Linked DNA regions of Coturnix japonica. The protein of the gene in region 2 binds, or shares a complex with, the protein of the main gene of each other region. Links are inferred from orthologs where the notes say so. Each region holds a gene or a part of one and is shown on either strand. Other genes may lie near its edges. The genes, in order: INTS12 and INTS7.

The links.
Region 1: INTS7 (region 2) and INTS12 share a complex: the UniProt entries of both Homo sapiens proteins name them as parts of the integrator complex. The link is inferred for Coturnix japonica from reciprocal best matches to the Homo sapiens genes INTS7 and INTS12.

What each region holds. Positions count from the first base shown.
Region 1 is NC_029519.1:34,249,622-34,256,771, reverse strand, and holds part of INTS12 (integrator complex subunit 12), read right to left. Parts: intron 6,834-7,150; coding exon 6,670-6,833; intron 5,643-6,669; coding exon 5,490-5,642; intron 5,036-5,489; coding exon 4,848-5,035; intron 2,492-4,847; coding exon 2,332-2,491; intron 2,037-2,331; coding exon 1,884-2,036; intron 465-1,883; coding exon 1-464. UniProt on the Homo sapiens protein: Component of the integrator complex, a multiprotein complex that terminates RNA polymerase II (Pol II) transcription in the promoter-proximal region of genes.
Region 2 is NC_029518.1:19,454,022-19,461,171, reverse strand, and holds part of INTS7 (integrator complex subunit 7), read right to left. Parts: intron 6,961-7,150; coding exon 6,814-6,960; intron 5,627-6,813; coding exon 5,489-5,626; intron 5,125-5,488; coding exon 5,078-5,124; intron 4,920-5,077; coding exon 4,720-4,919; intron 3,772-4,719; coding exon 3,649-3,771; intron 3,230-3,648; coding exon 3,112-3,229; intron 2,188-3,111; coding exon 2,053-2,187; intron 1,519-2,052; coding exon 1,421-1,518; intron 951-1,420; coding exon 711-950; intron 1-710. UniProt on the Homo sapiens protein: Component of the integrator complex, a multiprotein complex that terminates RNA polymerase II (Pol II) transcription in the promoter-proximal region of genes.

The DNA.
Region 1 (7,150 bases), on a different chromosome or scaffold from region 2:
GCTGTAGTTTTGCTTGTGTTACCCCCACTGCTACCTGCAGTCCCACTGTTGCCATTCCCACTGCTCACCTGGCTGCTGGTGCTTGGTGCAGTGCTGCTGGGACTAGGAAGGCCTACTTTGCTAACATTGTCGCTACTTACCGAACGACTAAGAGTGGTTTTTCCCAATGTCAGAGGTGGAGGAGGTTTCAGCTGAACAGGGCTTGTGCTATTGTTAGCAGAAGCTATTTTTGACCCTAGTCCCGTTTTGGAAGCTGCCAACCCTGACAGACCCACAGGTTTCTGGTTATTTGAAGCTGCTGCAGGTTTCCCACTGGCATTCTGTGCTGTTGATCCCAGTTTGGCAGTTGATGGATTGGCAGAGGAGTTTCTGGCTGCAAAAGCAGCCCATCCTGTAAGGCCACTTGTGGTTGCTGAAGAGGAAACACTTGTACTGGCTGAGTTCCCCGAAACTGCTGCTGAGGGCTAAAAAAAAATAAATCATTCTTGTTATAGCAGCATTTATTTGTATAATACATCATAGCAGGATGAGATTGAGCCTCTGTTTTAGTTCTTTATCCAGAAACACACAGTAGACAATATTTCATCCCTGGTCACTGTAGTTAAAAAAAGCAGTAACAAGAAAAGAAAAGGATGCAGGTGCCAATAACTTTAAATTTCCCAGCCAAATAAAACCAATACCTTTTTTTCTACACAGGCTATTATATAGCAATGAGATCCCCCCATAAATTTTTAAAACTGGTTTTACTGAAATAACTACTGTGCAGACCTGTGAAGTATAAACACAGGAGACAAGCCGGTATTTTTTATTGTTTGCCATTAACTGGTGTCACAAGATAACAGATATTGAGATTAAAAAAAAAAAAAAAGCAACAGAAAAACAACAGCTCCCTAGTAATTAAACACTGCATTTTATTGCATTCTTTTGGTTAAAGTATAAGAATCAAAATTTTCCTTTACCCATCTTTGTTCTTAGCAGCCTATACCCCACCACACAGTTTTAAAGAAACTGAGTCATCAGACTTCTTTCCTCTAGTCTTTCCATTCAGGCACCACAAAAGACAAATGTTCTCCAGACAAAGCTTCCATTGAATGCAAGACACTGTATACATTACCTGCAGCTCCCAAACCTCAACCAATCCCCAGTTTTCAGCTGGGGATAATACAGATGTTGACTTATTAAAACCAGACTCATACTAGTTTACGGCCATGGTGAAAAAAAGCCATCATGTCATTCAGAGCAGTTTCCACCTAAGCAGCACAACTGCAAATTTACATCTGAGAACATAAATGATTGCTTTGACTCTGCGTTACAGGTGAGTTCCTTCAGTAAGCATCACTGTTCAAATTCTTTGTCATTTAGTATACTGTTTCTGGTTTATCATCCTAACCAACTTGCAACAACAGGTATGAAAAAACAACACTTGGTAAAGAAGTAGAAAGCTAATATATGTTGTCTCAAGTTTCTAAATTAGACCCTACAGAATCAGCTGTATTTCCCTACTGCCATGAGGAGAAGACTAACTACCAAAATATATGTACATTACTTGGCCACAGAGAATAAATATTATCTTTTATAGTGTTCTGAGGACCTGTATAAAATCCTGCCTGTATAAAATAACGTTAAGAAAAATTCTTAGAGTAAATTCTGTTCTGTCCCTCTTAACATAAAAATACTGAATGTTTCAGGGACTTACAACTGAATAGAGGTATTGCCCCCCATACTCTTTTGATGCTAATGCAAAACCACTATGCTGTATTACCATTCAGTATAAATAGTACAGCAGACCACATTCATTCATTGTGCTTGTGAGAAAATGTGTCTAAAAAAGAGATATACAGTAAAATGTAAACTTCTTTTCTAGAAAATTTATAGTACTTTACCTTCACTTCTGTTCTCTTGAATGCTAGAAAAGTTGTTTGGGTCTCAGGTTTCAATTTAATTTCAGATTTCTTGATCAATGGATCCTTCACAGCTGGTTCAACTGAAACCACGGCTGGAGCTGGTTTTTGAGGTGGTTTTTGTGTCTTCTGAGCCTGAGTGGTAGAAAAACAAAACAAAACTAGTTAGAGATCCTACAATTCTGCTTTAAGAAAGCATGAGCATTATCATATTGCAGTCTAGCCTTTACAATTTGAAACTGAAAAGTACTGAGAAATAAAGCAGTAATAAGTTGCAGGTGTGGAGGCCACATCAAATATGGTACAGGTGATAAGGAGCGAGAAAAATGGCTCTCCAACATTCTACCAAAGATTTCTGTAACTCATAGTAAGAAATAACCTGCTCTATTTCAATAGTGCTCATACTAGACAAAAAAAACCTGGCTCCTACCATTCTCTTCATCTGTCTGGTACAGCGGGCACAGTACCATACAAGTCGAGGATCATTCACTTCCTTGTCTGTCACCTGAGGTTTATGGCAATCCTGGTGGTAGAGATTATGGCACTCCTGACACTCTACTAGCTGATTCCCAGAAATAACGGTCATTTGTCTGCAGAGCAAATAGTTAAGAACAGATTATTGGAAAAAGCACTTCAAGGATAATCCAAATGCTGTAAATTTTGCAAAGCTTAAGATAAAAAATAAAAATATTTTTGCTTTCATGAATATTTTCTACCTGTAGCAGATGAGCTATGCTGATATTTCTTCCTAATATCTTAAACTATGAATTGTTAGATTTTCATGGGAGAACCTAAATTTAAAAACTTCAATATTATGAAACAGGCATACATGATGCTTCCTGTACTTCTGTTTGATTTTTATATTACAGTAGCATCCAAAGAGCTAGCCTACATTTGGATAATTTTGTTGCAAGTTACAAAGCAATGCAGTTCAAGAACAGATAATTTTGCACTGACGAGTATGTAAGAGTGCTTTCTTCTGATGGATGATTCAAAAGCATCACCATCCCAACTCTATACTAACTTACTGATGTTTTATTAGCTATCCTTTTGGTTCCTACAAACAGACACTTGGAATTCGAGATAATACCAAAATCTTGAAAAGATGGAACACAGAGGATTAACTGTGAAGCTCTGTTTTGAAGCAAATACACAAGCTGGTAAGGACTTAATTCTGCTGTGGGACTCTGGTGAAAGTGATCGTGCTGTATGAGTGACAAATTAGTGATGTACACATGACTGTGAATGTGTCTAAATTAGCCAAATATCAGTTTCCTGATGATTTCTTTTTTTCAGATGACAAATCAGGCTATTTAATTGCTAAGCTGCTTTGGCTCATAAGCCTGAAGAGCAGGTACCCAGGTAACCATGGAAACTCTATTTGTAGATGGGTACAGAAAGGTAATATCTTATTTCTCTATAAGAAGAAAAAGTAGTCTGAAAGTATTGTCCGCACGGACACTAGAACATTTTCTAAGGAATATTTCTCTTTCAAATGGGCTACCTGAAAAAACAAAAGACTTCTAAAATTCTACCACCCCTTTAGAGATGCAGGAAATTTCAAAAGCCATTTTGCTTATTATTCCTAAATAAATGGGGTAAAAATGAAGCAGTGATGCTTTAACCCTATGTCTCAAGCAAGAAGACTCACTATTTTAAAGTTCCAAAGACAACTGCAGACTAATTTGAAAAAAAAACAACAAAACACTCAACTCTTCATTCCCAGAATCAAGTTAAACCAGTCTCATTTTTAAACAATTTGATGAATGAAAAGCAAACTTAATGATCTCTTAATTTCAGAAAACAAACAAGTATTCCTAAAAAATAGGGTCATTCTTTCAGGAATGGGCTTTAATTTTTTGTCAGGGTTTACTATCAGCTGCAAACTACAAATAGTATTACTTCTTCATATGACTGAGGATCCTTGTAACTGTTGAGTCCTGTCTTTCTAAGACCTAAAATTATTGAAGAGATTGAGGTTATATTAGCACTCTCTTTGTGCCTAGTTTGTCCCAGCAGAACAGAATCAGAAATAGATTACATAGATAACAATAGATAACAAATGTTAGTATTTCAACTTAAGATACCCAGCCCCAGGAAGGGACCTTAGGTTGGCAGCTGAGCAGTAAGTAGTGGAATGCAGTACTAACAAATATGTTGGATTTAGAAAACCTGAAACATAAATGTTCTGAAAAACAATCCATCTAACTTAAGTTGGAAACTGAGAACCAGAAGGCATTGGTACCAGCGGGATTCATGTACAATGAAAACAAACACCAAGTCTTGTGAGACTGCTAACATCCTCTAATGAGTTTCCTCCTGATATGCTTCTTCCTCTCTTTAGCATCACTTTAATAAGAGCTATTTTATAATTACTGCTGTAGGAAAATTGAAAGATTTATTTCTTCAGGTGTTTGAACTGTTCCTCCTTTTTTAGTGTCTATAACAAAAAGTTAAACATTTGAGCTAACACATGGGAATAATGACATGAAATCTCATCATTCTACACTTAGCTAACAGTATAATTAGCTGCAACAATGGGAATTCCTCCATGAACTAGAGACACCTCAAAAACGTGCTTTCTCATTTGGCTTAAGCTGAGCTAGAATACAATAATTCTAAGAGTCCAGCTAGTAAATGCCAGTTCCACCTTCCTCCCTGCCTATGTTCTTGTAGCCATGCATACATGAGAATAAGTATGCTCACTGAGCTGACTGAAACCTATACCTGCTCTTTCCTGAAGAAGAGCCATTTTTATTCACTGAAGGCTCCATTTTCAAACAACTATTCTTATTTGTGAAGAATGCTTACATATATCACTAATCTTGTATTTGTACTTAAGTAATTTCCAGAATACAACCTGCAGGGTAGAATTAACTGAATGCTACGTGAGCAAAAACCAACCAAAAGTAAATATATTATTGCAATGAAACACTGTTGATTTACCTGCAAACGACACAGGCCAAACCCATTTCCATAGCAAAGTCATCAGCACTGGTCTCCTCAAAGCTCGACAAATCAGGCATGGATAAATCTTTACTTGTCTGAACTGTAATAGGAGAAGAACGAGTCTCTTGCTTCTCAAGTCTGGGCTTCTTTGGTACATCAGCTCCTTCAGCAGCATCCCCTTTCATCTATAGGGAAAGAGTATGAAAAAGCAGAAAGCTGATTGACCTTACTAAAATGAAAAAATTACTACAACACTTAAGATGGAAGTATAAAAATGTATATTTACAAAGCATACACGCAGCATATTTTCCTTTGATACATCTACTCCAAAATATTCATTAATTAGAAACTCAAGTCCACTTTTTATGCTTCACTACAAAAATCTTGATAAAGCGTTGGAGAAACCCACATTTCAGGCTGCTACATTTTAATAACTTGTCAGTGTATTTAAAGTATTTATGAAATAATTTTAACTAGACCTTTACTGGATTGCCTAAACAACATGATTTGACAAGGCAGATTGTAGGCTATGCACTATTAGCAAGAGTTACACAGACTACATGGGAAGAGAGCTTTTACTAAAACAGCTTCTAATTTGTTAGCCAGATTACATCAATACAGAACAAAAATTAGACTCACTTTATCAGCAGACCTCTTTTCTGTTTCTTTTTTCACCTTTTCTGATGTGGTAGGCTTGCCATTGTTGTTACCAGAAGGCAAACTAGAAGAGGCTTTAGGATCTTGCTTACTGGAAACAGGTTTGGTAACACATACTTTTGGTTGCTCTACTTCCTAAAAACAGGGAAAAAAAAATGAACTATCAAAATCAATCCCTATCTCCTGTTTTGCAGTTAGATCACAGTTTAGGCAAACAAAATGTCACACAACACTTTTCAACTGTACATACATTCTTCTAAATATTTCTTATGTCCTTTTATATCCAGAAATCACTGGGCTTAAACTACAGTTATTAAAATCTCCCTTAACACTCATCTCCCAGATAAAAAGATTTATGCTAAAAGTAAGTTGACATGTGCTGTTGCTGGACATCAATACATCGTTCCTTTATGGAGGCAAGTCTTAATCTCAGTTCACATTCACCTACCAGTTTAATAATTTGGATCTCAAAAGAAACTGATAGATCTTATTAGTGATGCATTAGCATCAGCAATGTATAATAAAAAAAAACCAAGAGATCAATCATAGCATTGTGAGCATTGTGCACGAGAAAGATATCCCTCCAACATGGTTGGAAGTGGCTAATTCCCTGCTGTGTACTGAGATGAGCCCTGAGCTTCAAGTCAGCCCCATCAACTTTCCCAATTTCCTGTTGCATGCAGACAGTGACAACTTGCCAAGATGCTACAGCAATCAGCTTCCCAAGCCTCTCTGTGGTATTATTCAGTTCTGACAAAAAGCTCCTGAAAGTCATAACACCTGTGTTATTACAGAGAATTGTAGTTTAGGTTTCAGGGTGTTAACATAGAAAAGAATTAGACTGTGTAGTACAAGCATCATGTATGCCACAGGAGCAATACTGTCTTTTTGATAATTTAAGAAGTACCTGTAGAAGGAAAATATTAACATGTGTGAATACAGACCATCATCAGAACATACCTGGCTGACTTGTCAACATCCTAAGGGAGAAAACTACCTCATTAATTATTTGGCAATACAAAGCAGTACTAAAACGCACCCACTTGATTGTTTTCATATGCTAATCTCAGATTCAAATATTCTGTCTAGCAAAATGAACTAGGAATAGTCGGGTCTGTAAAGGCATGTAAAAATGTTATCCTGTGTTATCTAATACTAGTACCTTCTGAGATGGACGATAACTTGAATCAGCTCCTCTGGCCAAAGACTCATCAAGAAGTGCTTTCAGCTTTTCTGCAGAATCCTTACTCTTGGAACGCAAGAAGCCCAGGGCTTTCAGAAAAATAGGATCAAGCTCCATGTTCACCGCAGCAGCCATAGTGGTGTCTTTGTAGGAAGACAAACAAAACCAACCGACACAAAACAAAAAGGAAGAACTTTATATTTATGAAGCCTCAGTCAAACAGTGTGTAGTTAACTAGATTGCAAAATATTTTTTGTAAGATAAAGTCACATTGAAACATAGCAAAGGTAGTATGTGAATTAATTATTAGAAGACAACTGTGAACTTGTGAGCAGAAGAACTTGAATTTGGCTTTGCATCTGAAGGGATAGCAAATTTGTTCTTTGGAACAAAGCTGTACAGAAACTAAACTCATTGTTCTTACATAAATGGAACAAGCATTCCACATTCTTGATAATCC
Region 2 (7,150 bases):
TCTTATTGAATAATGTCAAAGGATACATCATGCACTTGGGTTGGGACAATTTCAAGCACAGACACAGACTGCGCAGAGAATGGACTCAGAGCAGCTCTGAGGAAAAGGGCTAGGTGGTGTTAAAGTCAAACACAATATACTGCACAATATGTGCAGTATATGACTGCAGCCCATAGTGCCCACCATGTCCTGATTGGCACAGTCACCTTCCTTAACCTGCTGATGACACTGCTTTTGATATAGCCCAGGACATGGTGAGCACTCCAGGCTGCATCAAAAGCAGTGTCATCAGCAGGTCAAGGAAGGTGACCGTTTCCCTCTGCTCTGAACTTGTGAGACCCCACCTGCAGAACTGCCAAAAGTAGCCAACAAGAAAGTTGGAGGGGGACTTTTTACAAGGACATGTAGTAATAGGAGAAGGAATAATGGCTTTAAACTCAAAGAGAGTGGGTTTAGATTAGATAAAAGGAAGAAATTATTTACTTTGAGGGTAGTGAAGCACAGGCTGTTGCAAGAAGCGATGGATACCTCACTCCTGGAGGTGTTCAAGGCCAGGTTGGATGGGGCTTTGAACAATCTAGTCTAGTGAAAGGTATCCCTGATCACAACAGGGAGGATAGAACTGGATGGTTTTAAATCTCCCTTCTAATCCAAACCATTCTATCTATGATTTTGTCCATCAAGGTTTATTCTCCTGAAGGAGGTCTTACCAAGAGTTCCTGTTTTTTATCTGTAGTAGACTGTCCAATCACTTTATAGAGCTCCATCAGATCTCCCAGCATCCCATCTGCTAATACAGGCAGCTGCATGGCAATAGCTGCTAAACAGTGGCACATGAGAATCCTAGCAGCATCCTGAGCACTGTGCAGCTGCGTCAACAGAGATTCAACCACCGACTGGCTCAGGTGAGGACGGCACTTGACCAACTTTACCATACAAGTTAAGGTGATCTGTAATTCACAAACACCAACAGATACAGTTAATACAATGCCTACTTAAAAGTAATACCAAAACAGACACTTTGCTGCAAGTGTGATTACAGAAATACACAAAAAGGAGATTTCCTTAGAGCATAAGCCTCTATCTCCAAACTCAAAGCATAAAGACACCAAGAAACAATTCTTCTCATGCCTTTACAGGTACATAATTAAATACAATTACCAGCAGCAGATAATGAAGTGGGACAATAAAAATAATAGTTGATAAGAACATGGTTATCTTGCAGATTGCATCCCCATCTCAGAAAATGTGGGTTCTCCCTTACCAAGAATTCCTTCATTCTGTAGAGACACCTCCACCCCCTGTTCAAGTTTGTTTCATTATAGCTGTACCACAGAAAAGCGGTACACTTCAGCTCTTCTGCTAGAGAAACCATTACTGTAACTTATAGCTGTGCTAATGAATACAGCAGTATGGTCACCTTTAAAGTTGCTTGAGCTCCTGGACTGTCATCTTGACTACAGAGTACAAGAAGAGATTCTAAGCCAAAAACTGCATCTTGCTCCAAAGGCAGAAGATCTAAGAAAAAGTAACAGTCAGTTAGTTCCCTTTTATAGTTCCCGTCTTTAATCAACATAGTGCTTACAGTGGTGCTGCAGTGATGACAGATGAATATTCTCCTAATAATTCTGACTCGCTTTAATTGGAAGCAATCCTGTCTCAGGTAATTATTCAGCACTCACGTTAAACGTGACATTTGTAGGGTGAGCATAAAATTCTGGACAACAACTCCTAAATGCTCCATTATTCCTTCGCAGCTGATTTTGTGCCAAGAGTTACCAAAGGCTAACAGACAATTCAGTGATTCATAGCAAAAGTATTTATTTTAGCAGTTCTACTGTGTCCATTAATTTTCTATAAATGAGTAGAAGATGGAATCTTCCCAACCATTCACAAGATTCCACAAAACATTTGCAGAGATTATATAGTCCCCATAACCAGCATGAAGGACCAGAATCACAGAAAACTTCATGGACAAGACCAGTCAATGTATGTTAAGTGCATAAGCCTGACTGCAAATAAACTTATTTCATTGTCCTTGCTCTCATTTACCTTTTTCCTGACAAGACGCTGATATATTTGTCAGAATTCTCACACCATGAGCTGCAATGCCACGGTTATTATGGTAACAGCACTCCTGTGCTAATTTTACTAAATCAAATGATCTTGCAGTTGTAGTCGCTGTTCCTAAACAAAGACAAGGTAAACCAGACATATAACAGCACAAAGTTTAATTAGACTATGAAATTTTCAAGTATATTCCCGTACTAAAGCTATATTGATTTGTGGTGCTCAGTTTCTTAAAATTACTTATTTTACTTCATATGTTTTTATCCTACCATTTTAACATATATTCCTACACACCTGCTAACACTGAGACTCTCTCCTCTTTCCTAAATGCAACTTAGACATCTAAGAAAAGAAAAGAGTATCAACCTTTAGACCTGCATGTTTCAGGAACTTTGAGATCTTTAGACTTATCCCAAAGATTTTAATGACTGAAAAAAAAAAAAAGAACTATCAAGCATATTAAGACATGCCAGAATAACTGATGAAAACACACTGTTTCTCCTCTTTTCTGCAGCCAGTGTTGTTGGGCTCATTATACTCATTAAGACATAGTGCCTTTCAAGAAGACATAACAGACAGTATCATTTCCATTTTCAGAATGAGATACCTTTAATCATTTCAGAATGCCTGCTTCTTCTCAACTACAAAGCCTCTATGCTTCACTGCTCCCTTCATTCAAACTAAAACACTACACAAATGCGTGGTCTCAAAGTGCCTTAAGCAGAACACAGGCTGACCATTTAAAAAGGCAAACTGTTTCTTTAGTTTATGTCAAGAAGTTGAAAATCCAAAGGTAAACAAAACTTTCACAGAGCTTATTAGCCACAAGATCTGTAACAGAATCTTAACCAGTGACTGTTCATTGGTGCATGCTCTCTCATTTCAAGTTCAGATACAATAAACACAGTTTGACCCTCAACTAGCACCCTGAAGTTCAGTAATACTTTCAGAATATGCAACAATGTTTACTATAAACTATTCTGGAGTAAACAGCTAATTACCAAAAATGCCCAGAATTATCATCTAATCTGGTTTTCTTACCTGGAGCACTGCTGAAGTACTGTTTAATGGCAATGGTCCCTGATAATGTGGAAAGAACTGACAGCATCCCCAGCTTCAAACTGTCATACGGTGTGTGAAGAGCAGATTCACACAGTGCCTACAAGAGAAGGGAGAAGATACAAATGGAAGGAAGTTCCATGAACTATCTGTATTAAAGGTCTAGTTGCACCTGTTTGTAAGAAGGAAGGGCCTATGACCAAAACAGGCAAAACTGAAATCAAACCAGAACTTGCTCATCTGGCAAGCATCTAGAAAACATCTTGCACGTATCCTAACAAACTGCTCTAAGTATCAGTAGCACCAGGTTCTAAAGCCAACAGCACATGCTTTTCCTCAGTTACATTACTTCAATTGTTCATTTATATTTGGCTACTTTGCTTGGTAGATTATGCCTAATTTAAGGACACACAGAGGCACATATTCTTGCTTCCTTCCCTCACAAATTGTTCTCTTGGAAGGAATTCCACAACTAATTGCAAAGCTTCATAACAAACTTTTGCCTAAAAATGTATTAACCTGAATATTTTCTCTACTCCATGTATGTGGCATCTTGTTAGCCAACAGCTTTAAATCTTGGATTGCAAGCCTCTTCACAGCCTTTCTGGGGTCATTCTTCAAGTACTGCAACAAAAGCTGGACCTGTAACAAGATAAATTCATCATTTAAGGGGACGAGATTGTACTATAAAGATATTATATAAATATTCAAGAATATTCATGAAGGAATTTTGAAAATACTCATATGAAACTGCCATGTGTTTCCTGCCTGCTTGCTTCCCACATGGCAAAGACTGCACTGCAGTTCCTTGGCAAGTGGAATCAATCTAACAGCTGCTTTCTGCCATCCTTCACTCCTGTCTCTTCAAGCACACCTCTCTGCCACCTCCCCACATGCCCCGAGAAGCCCTAAGTGCTATTCCTGCTCTCATAGAAACACTGGTAAAAACATTCCCAAGGACCTCAGACAACACTTTGCATTGTCACGATTACACTAGTAGCAAGTATTTCAGGCATTTCTGCATGATCTGCAGTCAACAGAGAGCAGCACAGATATACACTCTGTCTCAGAAAAAAATAATAAGAAATCCACACACCCTGGCTATCTGATTTATATGTACAACATAGGCGGCTGTGTTGCAGAAATACAGCCTGTAAGCCCATGCTTACTTTCATAAAGAGCATGTGAAGTGCTTGAATGTTGTCTCAGCTAGCTCAAATTCAGTACTATTCCTGAAAGTCAGCCATCCCAAGAAGTTTTAAACAAATCAATGCAGTAAGTCAAATAGACACCAGCCTGCCACAAATGTATGGATTAAAAGGTCAATAGATTTTTATGACTTTACTATAATTAGTTGAACCTCAAATGTCACTGTGCATTCATACTTGCTATATGAATCATAATCACAAAGCCCATTATCTAAACATAAAAGCATTATATTTTGCTCATCAATGCTTTCTCACGACTTGGTTTAAAAACATAAGCTGTAGCAATAGACTCAGTCTTTCAAGATAAAGATCACAGTTTATCCTCAATAATCCCTGTTTTGTTTTAAACATGCTTTGTAGATTCATTTGAAAGAAGAATTACCTGTTTAGGAATGTCAACCAAAGAAGAAGCAGCAAGCAGAGTGAACGTGTGCAGAGTAACAATGACCATCTTGGTGGAAGGATATGATGTTACCAACTGCTGAAGCAGCTGCCGGGAGCTGGAGGCCAGGCTAGCATCATGATGCATGTGCTGTAGAATAGGGATCAACTTCAATTTCAAGTCCACAGGTGTGGCTAAACCTGTAACAGGGAACAGAGACACTGTCAGGCTATTGTACTGGCTTTTTCTGGTACTAAGACACACATTATTTGGGGTAAGGGCAATGGTATAGAGGTATTTTATATACTTATGTATAAAAAAGAAGCCCTGGATATCATCACTCAGTATTTGTACATACCTTGAATCATCTCACTGATTTTGTTACATATTCCTGCAGCAAAGTCCCTGTAGAGAAAAAGACAAAGCACCAAGTGAAATGAAAGCAAACAGGCTAAAAAAAAAAAATCAACAGAAGAACCAAACAATGAATTTTAATAATAAAAACCACCACAAGAATGCTTGCCAAAACTTAGTTATTTTAGAATCCCTACACAGGTGCATAATCAAATAATAAAATGGAAGCTTTCAAATAAGTTTCATAGGTTTTTTTAGACTCGAATTCAGACTTCCTTACACTTATTATCATGACATATAACAGCTGTGAAGGATGTTCTACCACCACTGAAGAAAATACTAAGTTCAGTAAGCAACAGTGGAGCTGTTATTCTTTGCAATGTGAAAAACGGGGGAGAAAAAAATTCCACCTTACTTTGACTGTGCAGAAAAGTTGGCAGCAGCAAAAATAGCAGCTTCAACTTCCACATTATCATGGGAATCCAAACTCTGGCGAATACTGTGATGTGCATTCTTCCTTTCTGGAATGATAGACGCCATGCTGCCCAACATCCTACAGACACAGATCAGGAAAAGGAGCAAGCACAATGACTGACTATGAAGTAATGCAAGATGAAATCAAAGGGAAGCACAGAAGGACTGGCTTAAAGTCTTGGCTTTTATATAAATGAGGGCTCTTTTACATTCACTACAGAAACAAAGACACACTGACAGCAGGCATATTGCTAAAACATGATTATGCTGGTATCAGCCTTCTGTTAGTCATTTAATGAAAACAAACAACAAAAAAGTAACCATATTGGAGTATCATTAGTGGAAAACAATTGTTATAAAGTGAGGAGCACACCATGGCATGGGGTACACCATTTTTAAAGACACTTTTGTGCCCAAGCTCTGATATCAGCGCAACAGATTTAATGCTAAAATGCATTACTGCACGCATACACAAATATATATCAATATATATCATGCGATTTAAAAGTCAGTCATTTTGGTAGTTTAGGAGAATTAAAATAGCATTTACAAAGTTGTTTCTACCTTTTCTATTCTTCCCATTAAATCTTCAAATTGAATCAATACATGTCTGAGAAGTCAAAATTAACTACATACTAAGAAAGGGAAAATTCTAGAGAGTGACTATAATGAAGCAAACAAACATCAGTCTCTCATCATTTGTTTTTTTGAGATCCTAAAGCATAAAACCATAATCTCAAAAATATAAAAAGAAATGGGTGTGTGAGATAATAAACCAAACCTCTGTTAATGACTCTCATCTTTCAACAGTGAGAACAGAAACAGTTCTGAATAGATAGGAGAAATGAATAAGCAAGGGAGAAGGAGTGCTCTGTTCACATTTTAATTCAGTCACACAGGAGTTGAAGGAAGATGAAGAAAAGATTATAATGCTGGGTACTGTTAGAGATACAGAGACCAAAGCAGCAGGACAGCAACATTAAAGATATCTTGAAGTGTGGTTTTTTCTACCCACTGGATTCCCATCTCACCTGGAGCCATCTGCACAACTCTCACATCACAAATACAAGCATGCAAAAACCTTGTTCTTCCACTTACACATCTCCTGCTCACTCCCTATGAGATGTCCCCGCTTTTGCCTTTATGATGAATGTGGAAGACAGCTCCTACACTCTGAGAAGTAGCTGATTTTGTTAGAACAGATTAGCACACCAATAAAAGAGCTACAGCTTTGAAGTAAGTTAGGTTCACTTCTGTGCTACTTACCGAAGCGTGATAGCCCGAGCAACAGGATCATTGCTATGAATCACTGAGAAAACTCTCTTCACAAACTCATCCACGTTGAGGATCTTCTCCAGGTGCTTCTCGCTCTGCTGCGTAACTTTCAGCACACACAGCCTCAGGAAGTTGTTCCTATCAGAAGACACACGTTTATCTTTACTGAGCTGTTTGATAATACAGATTCAAAAACTTCTAAACTAAATGCATTACGAAAAACATATTTAATCACAACAAAGAAGCTCTGTGCTTTAGAAATGGCTCAAGCAGGCTACCAGTTAAGGATAGAATATGAACGCACTGCTATATGTAGCACAAGTGACAA